Oryzias latipes: one gene and its partners. The protein of the gene in region 1 purifies or fractionates together with the protein of each later gene. This does not show direct contact. Links are inferred from orthologs where the notes say so. Each region holds a gene or a part of one and is shown in the gene's direction. Other genes may lie near its edges. The genes, in order: smarcc1, bcl7a and ss18.

The links.
Region 2: the proteins of smarcc1 (region 1) and bcl7a purify together in Homo sapiens (affinity purification with mass spectrometry; 4 studies listed by BioGRID and IntAct, counting the BioPlex papers as one, with this or other methods). This does not show direct contact. The link is inferred for Oryzias latipes from reciprocal best matches to the Homo sapiens genes SMARCC1 and BCL7A.
Region 3: the proteins of smarcc1 (region 1) and ss18 purify together in Homo sapiens (affinity purification with mass spectrometry; 4 studies listed by BioGRID and IntAct, counting the BioPlex papers as one, with this or other methods). This does not show direct contact. The link is inferred for Oryzias latipes from reciprocal best matches to the Homo sapiens genes SMARCC1 and SS18.

Annotation. Positions count from the first base shown.
Region 1 is NC_019874.2:27,737,712-27,741,360, reverse strand, and holds part of smarcc1 (SWI/SNF complex subunit SMARCC1), read left to right. Parts: coding exon 1-27; intron 28-361; coding exon 362-399; intron 400-1,098; coding exon 1,099-1,220; intron 1,221-1,318; coding exon 1,319-1,390; intron 1,391-1,492; coding exon 1,493-1,606; intron 1,607-1,723; coding exon 1,724-1,877; intron 1,878-2,232; coding exon 2,233-2,343; intron 2,344-2,443; coding exon 2,444-2,503; intron 2,504-2,617; coding exon 2,618-2,876; intron 2,877-3,293; coding exon 3,294-3,455; intron 3,456-3,649. UniProt on the Homo sapiens protein: Involved in transcriptional activation and repression of select genes by chromatin remodeling (alteration of DNA-nucleosome topology).
Region 2 is NC_019870.2:1,211,880-1,216,292, reverse strand, and holds the start of bcl7a (B-cell CLL/lymphoma 7 protein family member A), read left to right. Parts: upstream 1-1,505; 5' UTR 1,506-1,612; coding exon 1,613-1,704; intron 1,705-3,252; coding exon 3,253-3,503; intron 3,504-3,600; coding exon 3,601-3,750; intron 3,751-4,269; coding exon 4,270-4,373; intron 4,374-4,413.
Region 3 is NC_019875.2:25,752,038-25,755,686, reverse strand, and holds part of ss18 (protein SSXT), read left to right. Parts: intron 1-2,168; coding exon 2,169-2,299; intron 2,300-2,720; coding exon of another isoform or gene 2,721-2,738; exon of another isoform or gene 2,739-2,783; intron 2,784-3,649. UniProt on the Homo sapiens protein: Appears to function synergistically with RBM14 as a transcriptional coactivator. Isoform 1 and isoform 2 function in nuclear receptor coactivation. Isoform 1 and isoform 2 function in general transcriptional coactivation.

The DNA of each region.
Region 1 (3,649 bases):
TGGAGGAGGGCAGTATGTCTAAGAATGGTATGTACTGCAGCCGCAAATGCAGCTGGAGCCTAAATGTTTAGATGTAAGATTATATTTTAGCTACACATCAAACGCAGCCGCATGCTTTGTCCATACAGACCCTTTACAGTGTGACAAATGTAAAACCATCTCAAATGTTTGTAGACGTGTGAAACCTTTAGTATAGAAAAAAGTTTTTCAAAGCAACGAAGACGTACTTTCCTATTATTTTTTTAGGAATGTTTGTCTTAACCAATTGAAATGCGTAGAAACACATTTCAGTCCAAAGCTGAAATCTGCTTTAATTGGGTTGACTGCGTCACCTGATCATTGTTTTTCTGGGTTTTGTTAGATGACATGGAGGATGACTCTGTAATGTCTGGTGGAAAGGTAAGAAAATTCAAAGATTTTATACAAACAGACTATAAGTGAAGGTAAGGCCAATGCACAAAAATCTATTACTTTAAAATTAGACACATACTACTACATTAGTGCCAAATTATAAATTTAAGCATTAAAGTAAAGTGTTTTGAATTTTTAAATTACTTCTGTTTATTTTATATCATAAAGGATAAATGTAAAACAAAAATCCACTTTGGCTTTGACACTCTTGTTAATTTTCTACCAAAGTTTACTGTATCATTAAGGATATTTAGAAACTTTATGTAATAATTTTAATAATTGTCTATTGACAGCCCAAAGTCCTGAAAAAGGTTTTGATATTAACTTCTTTAAGGGGGAAAAACATAATGAGAAGTATTTGAGGATAATTTGTTTCAAATATTTTCCTTTTAAAATATAAAGTTATTACCGGTAGTTAAAAAACAAAGAACATTTTAAAGAACAATACAAATGTTGATTTAATGGTCAAACATAAAATTCCTGATTCTAAATTACATTTTATTGTGCTTGAAATACAAACATTTGCTTCATAAGATTTTTTTAAGAGTTTGTAGCTTTTATGAAACACGTGGGAAATTAGTTTGAACAAAATCAAACTTTGTTCTGTTGGATCACAGATTTAATAGAACCTTTGAGGCCAGCCGTATTTTGTCTTTTAGTTTCTTATAATTGAGGTTTTTCTTGCAGGATGATGAGGAACAAAACAAAGGAGAAGTGAACCGAATGACAGATGCCAACGAGGATAATGTGACCGAACAGACTCATCACATCATCATTCCGAGCTACGGAGCTTGGTTTGATTACAACAGGTACGCTCTAAAAATGCTGCTACCAATAAACGTGTTAAACATTTCTGATGAGTGTGTTTGTCGGTTGCATTAAACAGTCTTTTTTTTTTCTCCTTAAGCATCCACGAGATTGAACGAAGAGCCCTGCCTGAGTTTTTTAACGGGAAAAACAAATCCAAAACTCCAGAAATGTGAGATTATATTTACAGACTCAGCCTCACTGTCAGATACATTTTTCTACATCACACTTTCTAAATCGCACTATAATGTGATTCTTCTCGACTTGTTGACAGATATTTGGCGTACCGGAACTTCATGATTGACACGTATCGGCTGAACCCCCAGGAGTACCTCACCTCCACTTCCTGCCGCAGGAACCTGACAGGAGATGTCTGCGCCATCATGAGGTGAAGAGGATTCAGGGCTTTTCTGCTTCTTTGATGCTCATGTTTTAATCCTGAAAAACAAACGAACAAAAATGATCAGAGAAATTGAATCTGTGAATTTCCCTGTGATGTTTTTAGGGTTCATGCCTTCCTGGAGCAGTGGGGTTTAGTCAACTACCAGGTGGACTCTGAAAGCCGCCCGCTCCCCATGGGCCCCCCACCCACACCTCACTTCACTGTCCTGGCTGACACCCCGTCCGGCCTCATGCCGCTTAACCACAGACCGCCAACGGTAAGCACAGCTCTGTTTAGGTGGGAGCAAAGTCACTTTTACTTTGAAGTACATGTATGATATCGACTTATTAATAATCGAGTTTAAAACTTGAGACATTTTCTTCTTAACATTGTCTGCGAGAAAATAATTACCGAAGCTATATATCTTATGAATTGTCAACACCAAATGCCGGCAGAGTTTGACATTATCACCAACAAAATGTTTTAAATATATATATCAGCTTTCATTCATGAAGAAGTCACTTGTTTTCAGTAAAGAAAAATTAACAGCTTAAAACCAAAGTACATTTTTATTTAAAAAGTGCTTTAATACCTTAGAGCTCTTGATAATTGTCGTAATATTTTCCCAACAGATTCCTCCTCAGCAGCCGATGCCTAATTTTGCAGATAAAAGCAAAGATAAACCCATCGACCTGCAGAACTTTGGCCTTCGTGCTGACCTCTACAGCAAGAAAAACACTAAGGTAAAGGTCCTGTTTGACATTTGCATGAGTTCTGCATGGAAACTATTGGAGATGCATATTCCTTAAACAAACGGCAATGTTGAACTTTGGTTTTCTGCAGTCTAAAGCAGGCATCGCCACCAGAGACTGGACTGAGCAGGAGACTCTTCTTCTCTTGGAGGCAAGTCTTATTTGTTTAGATATCGGCTTCTGTCAGTGGATCACAATTGTGTGTCTGTCTGCACTTGTCTTTATTTTTCTTCTGTGTTGCGACTTTATTTTTCACTCATCACAGGCCCTGGAGATGTTCAAAGACGACTGGAACAAAGTATCTGAGCATGTCGGTTCACGCACCCAAGACGAGTGTATCCTCCACTTTCTGCGGCTGCCTATCGAAGATCCCTACCTGGAGAACACAGAGGCGTCTCTGGGTCCGCTGGCTTATCAGCCCATACCCTTCAGCCAGTCTGGAAACCCTGTGATGAGCACCGTGGCGTTCCTGGCCTCTGTGGTTGATCCCAGAGTGGCCTCTGCTGCAGCCAAGGCAGCTTTAGGTAAAAAAAAAAAAAAAACTATGGAAACACGCAAGGACATTTAGAATTTCATGTCATGTTCTGTTTAACTTTACTGCATCAGTGCTACTTAAGACATTGAGACTGCAATAATTGTGGCATTTTTAAACGTAAGCGCTAAAGCAATACAAATCTAGATTTTATTTTTTTTAATCTGTTCCACTGCAAAATTAGAGGGGAAAAAATCCTCAAGGTTTTTAATTAATTAGATTTTTAGATTTAATTAGCATATTTAAAAAATAAATACTGAACTTGTTTTAGTTTTAGGATGAAATTGTTTCAAAGTATTGTTTTCCGTGCCAGTGTTGTTAATGGTGGACGTCGGCCCTGAACGAGCTGTGAAGATGCTTATTTTTATTATTATTTTTTAATATGGAAATGTCCTTGCTGCGTTTGCAGAGGAGTTTTCTCGCGTTCGTGAAGAGGTTCCAGCAGAGTTGGTGGAAGCTCATGTGAAGAAGGTGCAGGAGGCGGCGAGGAGTACAGGAAAGGTTGACCCCACCTTTGGCCTGGAGAGCAGCGGGATCGCTGGAACTGCTCCCGAGGAGCCAGAAAAGACTGGTGAGCAGCATTAAAGCAGACTTACATTGATGTCTTATGCAGGGCATTTTATATAAGGTTTATTCTTAAACATCAGACGGGTATGATGGCGCCTAAAGTGGGTCAGGTTGGAGGTTTTTCTTCTGACTTTTATATCAAATGCTCCACCTGAGGGCGACATGTTGACTGGAGGAGGTGGTTTGTGTGTGGAGATG
Region 2 (4,413 bases), on another chromosome or scaffold:
AAATCGCCTTGCGCCTTCGAGGAAGGTAGAAAAGCGCTACACAAGTGTACGCCATTTACCCCCGGAATCCTTTTATGTGCCTTATTTTTTCCTCATGGTCTTCTGCCTCCAGACCTGCAGCCACTTCCACTGAAAAGTTTATGCAAAGTTTGGGGCTTCATTTAGAACTCGCATCTATGGAAGGTTCTACCGTTTTGGGTTCTACGTACAGAACGCATGGGCACTGAACGCACGTTGCAAGGTAAACCAGGTCAAAGTTTGACCAAGCAGGGACTTGGTAGTGACGAATGGATGGTGTCCTCTCGAATTCACAGAAGTGCCAACCATTGAAAAAAAGCTCATGGAGCTGCAGAAATGTATAATTGTGGTTTACGTCCAGCAGGAATTCTGTGATTTATCAGAATGGAGCTGTGAAAGAAAAAGTCTTGGGCAAGATTTGCACCACTGACATTTCACACCCAGCCTCTTCCAACTGTGGCAGATATAGTAAACAGTGGGGAAAGAAGAAGAAGAAGCCCCTCCCTGCTTGCCCAGTGTGAACTTAGTATTTTACCCTTTCATGGGTCAATTATGAAACGCATCCTCAGTGATAAACGAGGCAACTCTGGTTGGTCCAAATATGATGGACATGTTTTGTCAGTACTGACAGCCTCGGGTCACAAGCGTAACTTCACTATATGTCACAGTGTGACAGTCATGATAGTTTCAACCAGAACCCAACATGGCTAAGCTAAACGTGGATAGCAACCGCACATTTTAAATTATGTTAAATGAAAAAAAGTCTACCAAAAAAAAAATCATTGAAAATAATAAACATTTAGCAGAAATGGTGTTTTGGTGGTGATGGCCTCAAAGTGTTTTCATACCCTCCCTTCACGACAGGGGTTTTCAGGAGTGGCACAAGAAGGGCAACACAAGATTTAAAGATCTGTTTGTGGACAACACCCTGGATTCATTTGAGCGGCTAAGCCGAACATTTGGTAGATACCTGTTAGGCAGTATCTTCTCTCTCTCGCTGGAGACCGGTTTGGATTTGAAAGTGTGTAAACAGACCAGACGACACCGTGTGGCTGCATGAAGAGCTCAGATGTTTATGGATCATATATCTAAGAGCAACAGAATTTCGTTGTCACAAGTTTCTTGTGTAACAATGATAATAAAGGCTTTCTGATTCTGAACTTCCATTAGTTTGAATCAGAAAGCCTCCCTCTAATTCCATGTTGGTGTTTCCGGCCCTTTGATGTCTCTGCGGTAAAGCTGCTTTGTTCTTTTTGTGTAAAATACCAACAAAAATGACAAAGAGTCAAACTTTTTCTCTTTTTATGGCGATTTTTTTTACAAGTGAGTGGGTAAAAACAGAACAGCTGTGTTCCTGCCGCGGCGGACACCCTGTACCGGCTCTGGGGGCAGACCTGGGGGGCAGAGCGGAGGCGGCTGCGGCTTCTTTGTTCCGCCGCTCAGCAGGATCTGATCTGAGCTCAGCGCGCAGCCGCAGCCGCCCCCCCCCTCTTCCCCCGGAGCCGCGCAGGCGCACTGGCCTCTCTGTGCGCTCTACTGTTTGCATTGTGTCTGAACTGCCGGCGAGCTTTAAAAATATTTTAGCAGCGCGGAAATGTCGGGCAGGTCGGTCCGAGCGGAGACCCGGAGCAGGGCCAAAGATGACATCAAGAGGGTCATGGCCGCCATCGAGAAAGTACGAAAATGGTGAGTAAACGCCGGGAAAGGAGCGCTTCGTTACCCGGGAGCAGAAAGGCTCTCTTGTTGGGGGAGGAGAGGGAAGAAGCGAGACGGAGACGGATGAAATTGAAAGAAAACGACGTTTTCTGGACGGCAGATCCCGCCGCGGCTCAGGTGCAGCGGTCCGCACCGGCGTACCGGTCTTCGCCGGTCGGAGGCGGGCTTCGGCGGGAACCGGTTCGTCGCATAGCCGCTGTTTTTCCGCCGATTTTTAACGGCTAGGGCTGAACCCAGAAGAAGCCATTTCGATGCAGTCACATGAAGCCATTGCTGCTCGCTGCGGAGCCGGGAGCGCGAGCGGAGCGGCGCCGGCCAAACGAACACCCGGCGCGGACGGAGGGACCGTTCGATGACGCTCCGGAGTCCGGGCTCTTCGGCCCGCGAGGAGTTTTAAGGCAGCGCTCGGAGTCGCCCTTCGGGTCCGACGGAGCAGCGCTCGGTCGGTGGGGGTTGGGAGAGGGAAGTCCGCCGAGATGCATGGCTGAACGCGCAGCCAGCGGCGCCGAGCGACCGGTTCGCCGCGGAAAATCACCCTTTAACCGCCTTCAGCTTCTCCGCCGCACATATACGGTTATCACCCGGACACGAGGAGCGTGGATCCAGCCGCGTGACCCCGCCGGGGGGCGGTATTTTTTTCAATTTCTGCCTGTCTGGGTGGATTAATCAAACGTCTCCAGGTCAAAGTCAGAAGTTTATTTTTTTCGATTAAAGTTAAGAAAATAAAACGGAATAAACAAACCGGAACCAGAAACTTTAGGCGGGTAAACAAAACAGTTTCAGTCAGTTATTCCCCCAAATTTAAAAAAAGTTAAACATTTTGTTTGTAAATTGCAACAATTCATTCCTAATAAAAAATATTTTTAAAACACATTTTAACTTCTGTTTAGTTTTATTAACATCAGTTTAAGGATTAAACATTTGTTTCAGTTTACATTTTTTTCTTATATATGAGAAATTTTAATACCAAAATTGTTTATTTAGATAGAGGGATTTTACCTTAACACCTAAATGTAGCTTTTTTAAAGGTTTAAGTAGTGATTTAGAAAAACAAGGGAAATAATCGAATCATACTGATCAATAATCAATATATTGATCATTTAGTGACATTATTTTTATAACTTTTTTGTTGGTTTTTATAAATTATAGAAAAATATTTTTTTCCAACACACACTTCATATTCATTTATGAATAATAAAGCTGTTTAAGATTTTTGTATATATACATCTGATCGGTAACTAATCAATAATATAATTAATGTATTTTGTAAAATATAAAAGTAATAAAATCAGTTTGAAATCTTAAAATAAGATTTTTAAAGAGGAGAAAATAGCATTTTTCACATAAATCCCTTTTAACATATATATTTAAAGGATTTATTATTGATATAATTAAGGGGAAAAAATCTTCTTTTGATGTGATTTTTGGTTTTTTAATGAAAGGCGCTTCTGTCAGGATGATGAGGTTTTCCCCTTAAAGTCAGAGATGCTTCCTGTCCTGATGGTTTCCTCTCTTCAGGGAGAAGAAGTGGGTGACGGTGGGAGACACGTCCCTCCGCATCTACAAGTGGGTCCCGGTGACGGAGCCCAAATCTGAGGACGTGAGTCCGCCTCTGACACCTGTCAGCCGGGGTTTCTCTTCAAAATGGATGATTCTTATTTTCCGTTTTCAGAAAAACAAAAACAAGAAAAAGGGCAAAGATGAGAAGTACGGCTCAGAGGTGACGACCCCGGAGAACAGCTCGTCTCCGGGGATGATGGACATGCACGGTGAGGCCCCACCCCCCCACCTGAGGTCACAGCTGGACATGACAACAGGTCGTTCTCTGATGAATGTAAATAAAGGCTGAGCGTGCTTCTCCTTCAGACGACAACAGCAACCAGAGCTCCATCGCAGACTCGTCCCCAGTGAAGCAGGAAAACAGCTGTAGCACAAGCCCCGCCCCCGAGAACAACGCCGCCACGCTCCGTGAGAACAGCGAGACCAAGAGCGAGCAGAGCCCGGACAGCAAGAGAGGTCAGAGGTCAAATGCAAACAGCAGCTGGTTGGAGCCAGCGACCCCTCGGCGCAGCTGTAGCCTCAGCGCCGCCCTCAGGGAATTCAACCGTCAACCGTGTTTTCCAGACGGGCTCTGATTGAGAGCACAGAGAGGAAATGAAGTCAGACAGTCTGAGCCAATCAGAAAGGCTCTGTGTGAAGCCCCGCCCTGATGCGTTGTGAAAACGGCGCCCTCATCATGGCCGATCTTCAGAAAGACCAATTAAGATTTAATTGAAGCAAAACTGAACGAATCCAATACTTTGACGGAATAAAAGACAAACCTTTATCCCAATTTGTCACAGAATTCCTTAAATACGACCAATTCAATTTATAAACCCTAAAATTACAACAATAGTTGTCCTGATGGGCTTCAATGTGACGGAGAACCTTTACATCTCGTTACAAGTTGCAGTTCCTTCATTTCACCACAGGGTGTCAGTAAAGCACCACAAAAGGGACTGCAGTTTGATCCAAGCTGTGACCTCTGACCCACAGGTAAGACCACGCCCTCGTCAGAGACCTCAGAGAGAGCGCACGGCGCCAAGAGAGACGGCCAGTCGTCGGGGGAGAAGGAGTCACCAGACAGCAAAGCTACTCAGGTACAAACACACCTGCGTGGGTCAAGCTCCGCCTCCGCAG
Region 3 (3,649 bases), on another chromosome or scaffold:
GAGTGCGGGGTTAGGTCGCTCTAAGTGTGTGGAACTTGCATTATCCTTACAAAAACTTGACAGTACACTTCCCAACACGCAGGGAAATCGTACATTCCGCTCTCATGACATCCCTTAAGATGGCCTCAGGACACACATGTGCTCGCCTTAAGACGCAGCCGCTCCTCTCTACGATCCTCCATCGCCCTGGATAGCCTGTTGCACCTGTACGCGTCAATAGGCTATCCGGGTTTAAGCATTTACTTAAAAAAAACAAAAAAAAGAGTATAGAAATAAACATGATTTAATCAGGATCTGATATCATTTGAAGTGTGGGTTTACTTGCAGGAGCTCTTAAGGGATTTCTCTTTGTGGCAGTTTTCTCTAGAACTTTCTGTCAGTTGCCCTCTTTGTGAGCCAGAGCTGTAGTTATTAATGAGCCAGCTGAGATGCCGAGGCTGTGAGGTGAGATCCATCTGGCACATACACACGCCTGCTCTCTCAGGCTCCCACAAGGTTATGCACAGCAGCATAAGGCATTAGGAGGGCCTAACGATGCTGCGTGGGCCTCATTTGACTTCCACCCAAGTCTAGTTTGCTCGGTCCTTCACAGTATCGGCAAAGATGGCTCCTGTGTACAGAGCTGGATTATAAATAGGTCTCTCTCTCTCTTTATACATATATACATATTTATTTTCTTTAGCTTGTTTTTTTTTTTATGTGTAACTGCTCCCTGACCTCAGTGTGACTCATTTGGTTGCATCCATAACTTGCTAACATGTTTCAGAAGCAGCCTAGGCAAATATTTGATATTCTTCTGTCGGTTGATCCTTGCTATAAAGCAGTGCTTCTCAAATAGTGGGACACGCCGATGCGATGCCAGGAGGGGCGCGCGGTAGTGGCGGTTTTAGGCACAGGTAATACGGGCAAATGTCCGGGGCGCAAATTTAACATGGGGGTGGTGACGACAGCGGCTCAGTGCGAGGAAAAAATCTGCGCCACTATTCGGTTCCTATTGTCTGTTAAATCACACACAGAGTTTGTAACAGCCTGAAACTTTTGAATCCCCGTCCCTGCAGCTGCGCGCTCCCGTCTCCTGTCACACGCGTGTGTGAGAACGAAAGGGGAGGGGTAGTAGGCTCAGGCTGCCAGGTGAAATGGGGCACGCGGAGAGCTGCAAGCACTGCCTGGATTAGCACCACCAGGATCATCACATGCTTTTAGATTACTCAGTTCATGCTAATAATGTCATCCTTCATTAACTGTTATAGATATTTTGATGACATCTTTATTTTTCATAAATGTATTTTTTGTCTGCCTGTCGTTTAGTTGGTGTCAGTATTTGAAATAAAGACAGCAGGTAATGCAGGAAAACCGCTGCACTTTATGAGATCATAAATAAACAATCCATCATTTAGAAAAACATCAGCACAATGTTTTTATCTATCTCTACAGACTAAAAAGGTTAAATATATTGGTGCTGCTCTGTTAATGTTTCAGATCAATTTACATTTAATATTATTGATTGACTAAATTATTTTTCTCAGCATCAAATGGTTCAGTTGGTCAGAATGTTTCTATTTTAAATAAGGACTGATAGATTTTTTTATTTCAGGCACTTTAAGCTTTTTTCTTTTAGACTATAACTGGGTTTCTGTGGCTAAATAAAGTCAATATTTGTTGAAAATTATTTTTATTGCTTTTTTTCTTTTGTTAGTGTTAAAAGATACAACTTTAGGGATACTTACACACATTTTATAGATACTAACCTAATATATTGTCACTTGGGTCAATTTCTCACTTCACCATTCAGAAGAATAAGGCTTCAAAAAGAAAGTAGTGAACATGGTGTCCGAATTGCTTTTATTGTTGGAGCATTATGGGTACTGTAGTCAGGTTTCTCACTGAGTGATGCATACTGTCCTTCAACTGTCTGTGAATGAGTTGAATAAAGTTTACTTCTAACTTTATAGTCACTTATATTAAAAGCTTGTTGTTTTTCTTTAACCAGGGATCCACAACGGAGGTGGAAAAGTCACGTTTAGACCCCTATTTTAGCTGAACAACTAGTCCTTTGGTTCAGACTGACAAAATTAAGACTTTTGGTTTATCAGAAATGGAATGTGTTGGTTTTTCAGTTAGCCGTCCTTTTAAGAGCGCCACCTTACATCTGTTTGTGCTCACTTTAGGCCCCTCCCAAAGTGCTCCGGGACAGTACCCTAACTATCCGCAGGGGCAGGGCCAACAGTATGGGGGCTACCGTCCTCCCCAGCCCGGACCCCCTCAGGGCCAGCAGCAGCGCCCGTACAGTTACGACCAGGTGAGTATAGCAGCAGTCACCGGATTGTTTGGAATTCCGATTTTCTTACAAATTAAACAAGTTTATTGCCAGAAAAAATGCTTTTCTAGCTCTCAGTGAAACCACAGACAATGAAGTTTAAAGTCAAGAATCATGTTGTGTTATGCATGCAAACATCCTATTGGGTGGTTGAGTCTGTTTGTTCCAGAAGATTGTATATGCTGCTGCTGTGTTTGAAATGTTAACCGTAGTGTTGGTTATTTCTTCTGGTTCATGTGGTGTGCCTCCTTTGAAATACCAGGGCTTTAAATAGGATTCTTCCTTAAACTTGAGTCAGTTTGCTCCATTGTTTAAAGTGCAATCCGTTTTCTGCCCTGTATTTCCCATGGTCTTCTGTGGGGACCAGAGCTACACGTTGATATCTTTATCTTTGAACATTCAGGGGCACATGAGGAAATAAGGAAGCGGGGATTTGAACCCCTGACTAGCTCTGTAAGAAGCAAAGGTAATGGTTGCTGTGAAGACCTCAGGGTCCAATCTAGACACTTGACCACCTAGAGTTAATTTGCATTTTCTAATGTTTCTTCTATCTGTCCTCTTCTTCTCTTTTTTTATTTTTTGATTCAACCTTTTTTAAGTTCTTCCATTTCTGTTTAACTCTACTGTTGTTGTTTTAACCAGGGGTCGAATTGTCAGAAATGAGGTCCCAAAACAAAAGCATGCGTAGTCTGTAGTGAGACGTCTCCTCAAACTTTAACACTCGACGAACAATGTGCTTGTGATGAAGCTGCGATTGTTGGGGTGTAGCGGTACATGTGATCTCCTCAAAACTGGGGCTCCAGGTGATGCGCCTGTGCTGCCAAACAAATATCTTGCCTCTCAATTTAGTTCCCATTTGTTTTTGCACAATCTAAACATTTAGTAATTTAAATTTCTACAAAACAAAATTTTCAGCTATTCTTTTGTGATTTTGAGTATTTTCAGGGACAAAAATTCAAATATTGTGATTTCATTAATGAAAAGGACAAACCAGCAGTGCTTTGTCTAGCTTTTTCAAATGATTGAAGTTAATCATGAATGTTTATTTTTAATTGTAAGGGTTTTCCTACCGTAGTTGTTTTTGAGTTGACTGGAAGTAGTTTAAGAGTACTTTTAAGGAAACAATGCAAAGTTAAGGCACCTAAGATGATCAACAGTCAAAAACATCTTTACTTTATGAAAAGTCTGATTTAATTTTATTTTTTTAATCAAAGACCTGACGGAAATTGATACTAAATTGTAAAATTGTGTGTACTGTTACACCCCTAAAAATCATTCAATGATATCTTCTAAAAATACCTCTTTTTTTTTCTTGTTTTCACTCCACTTTGG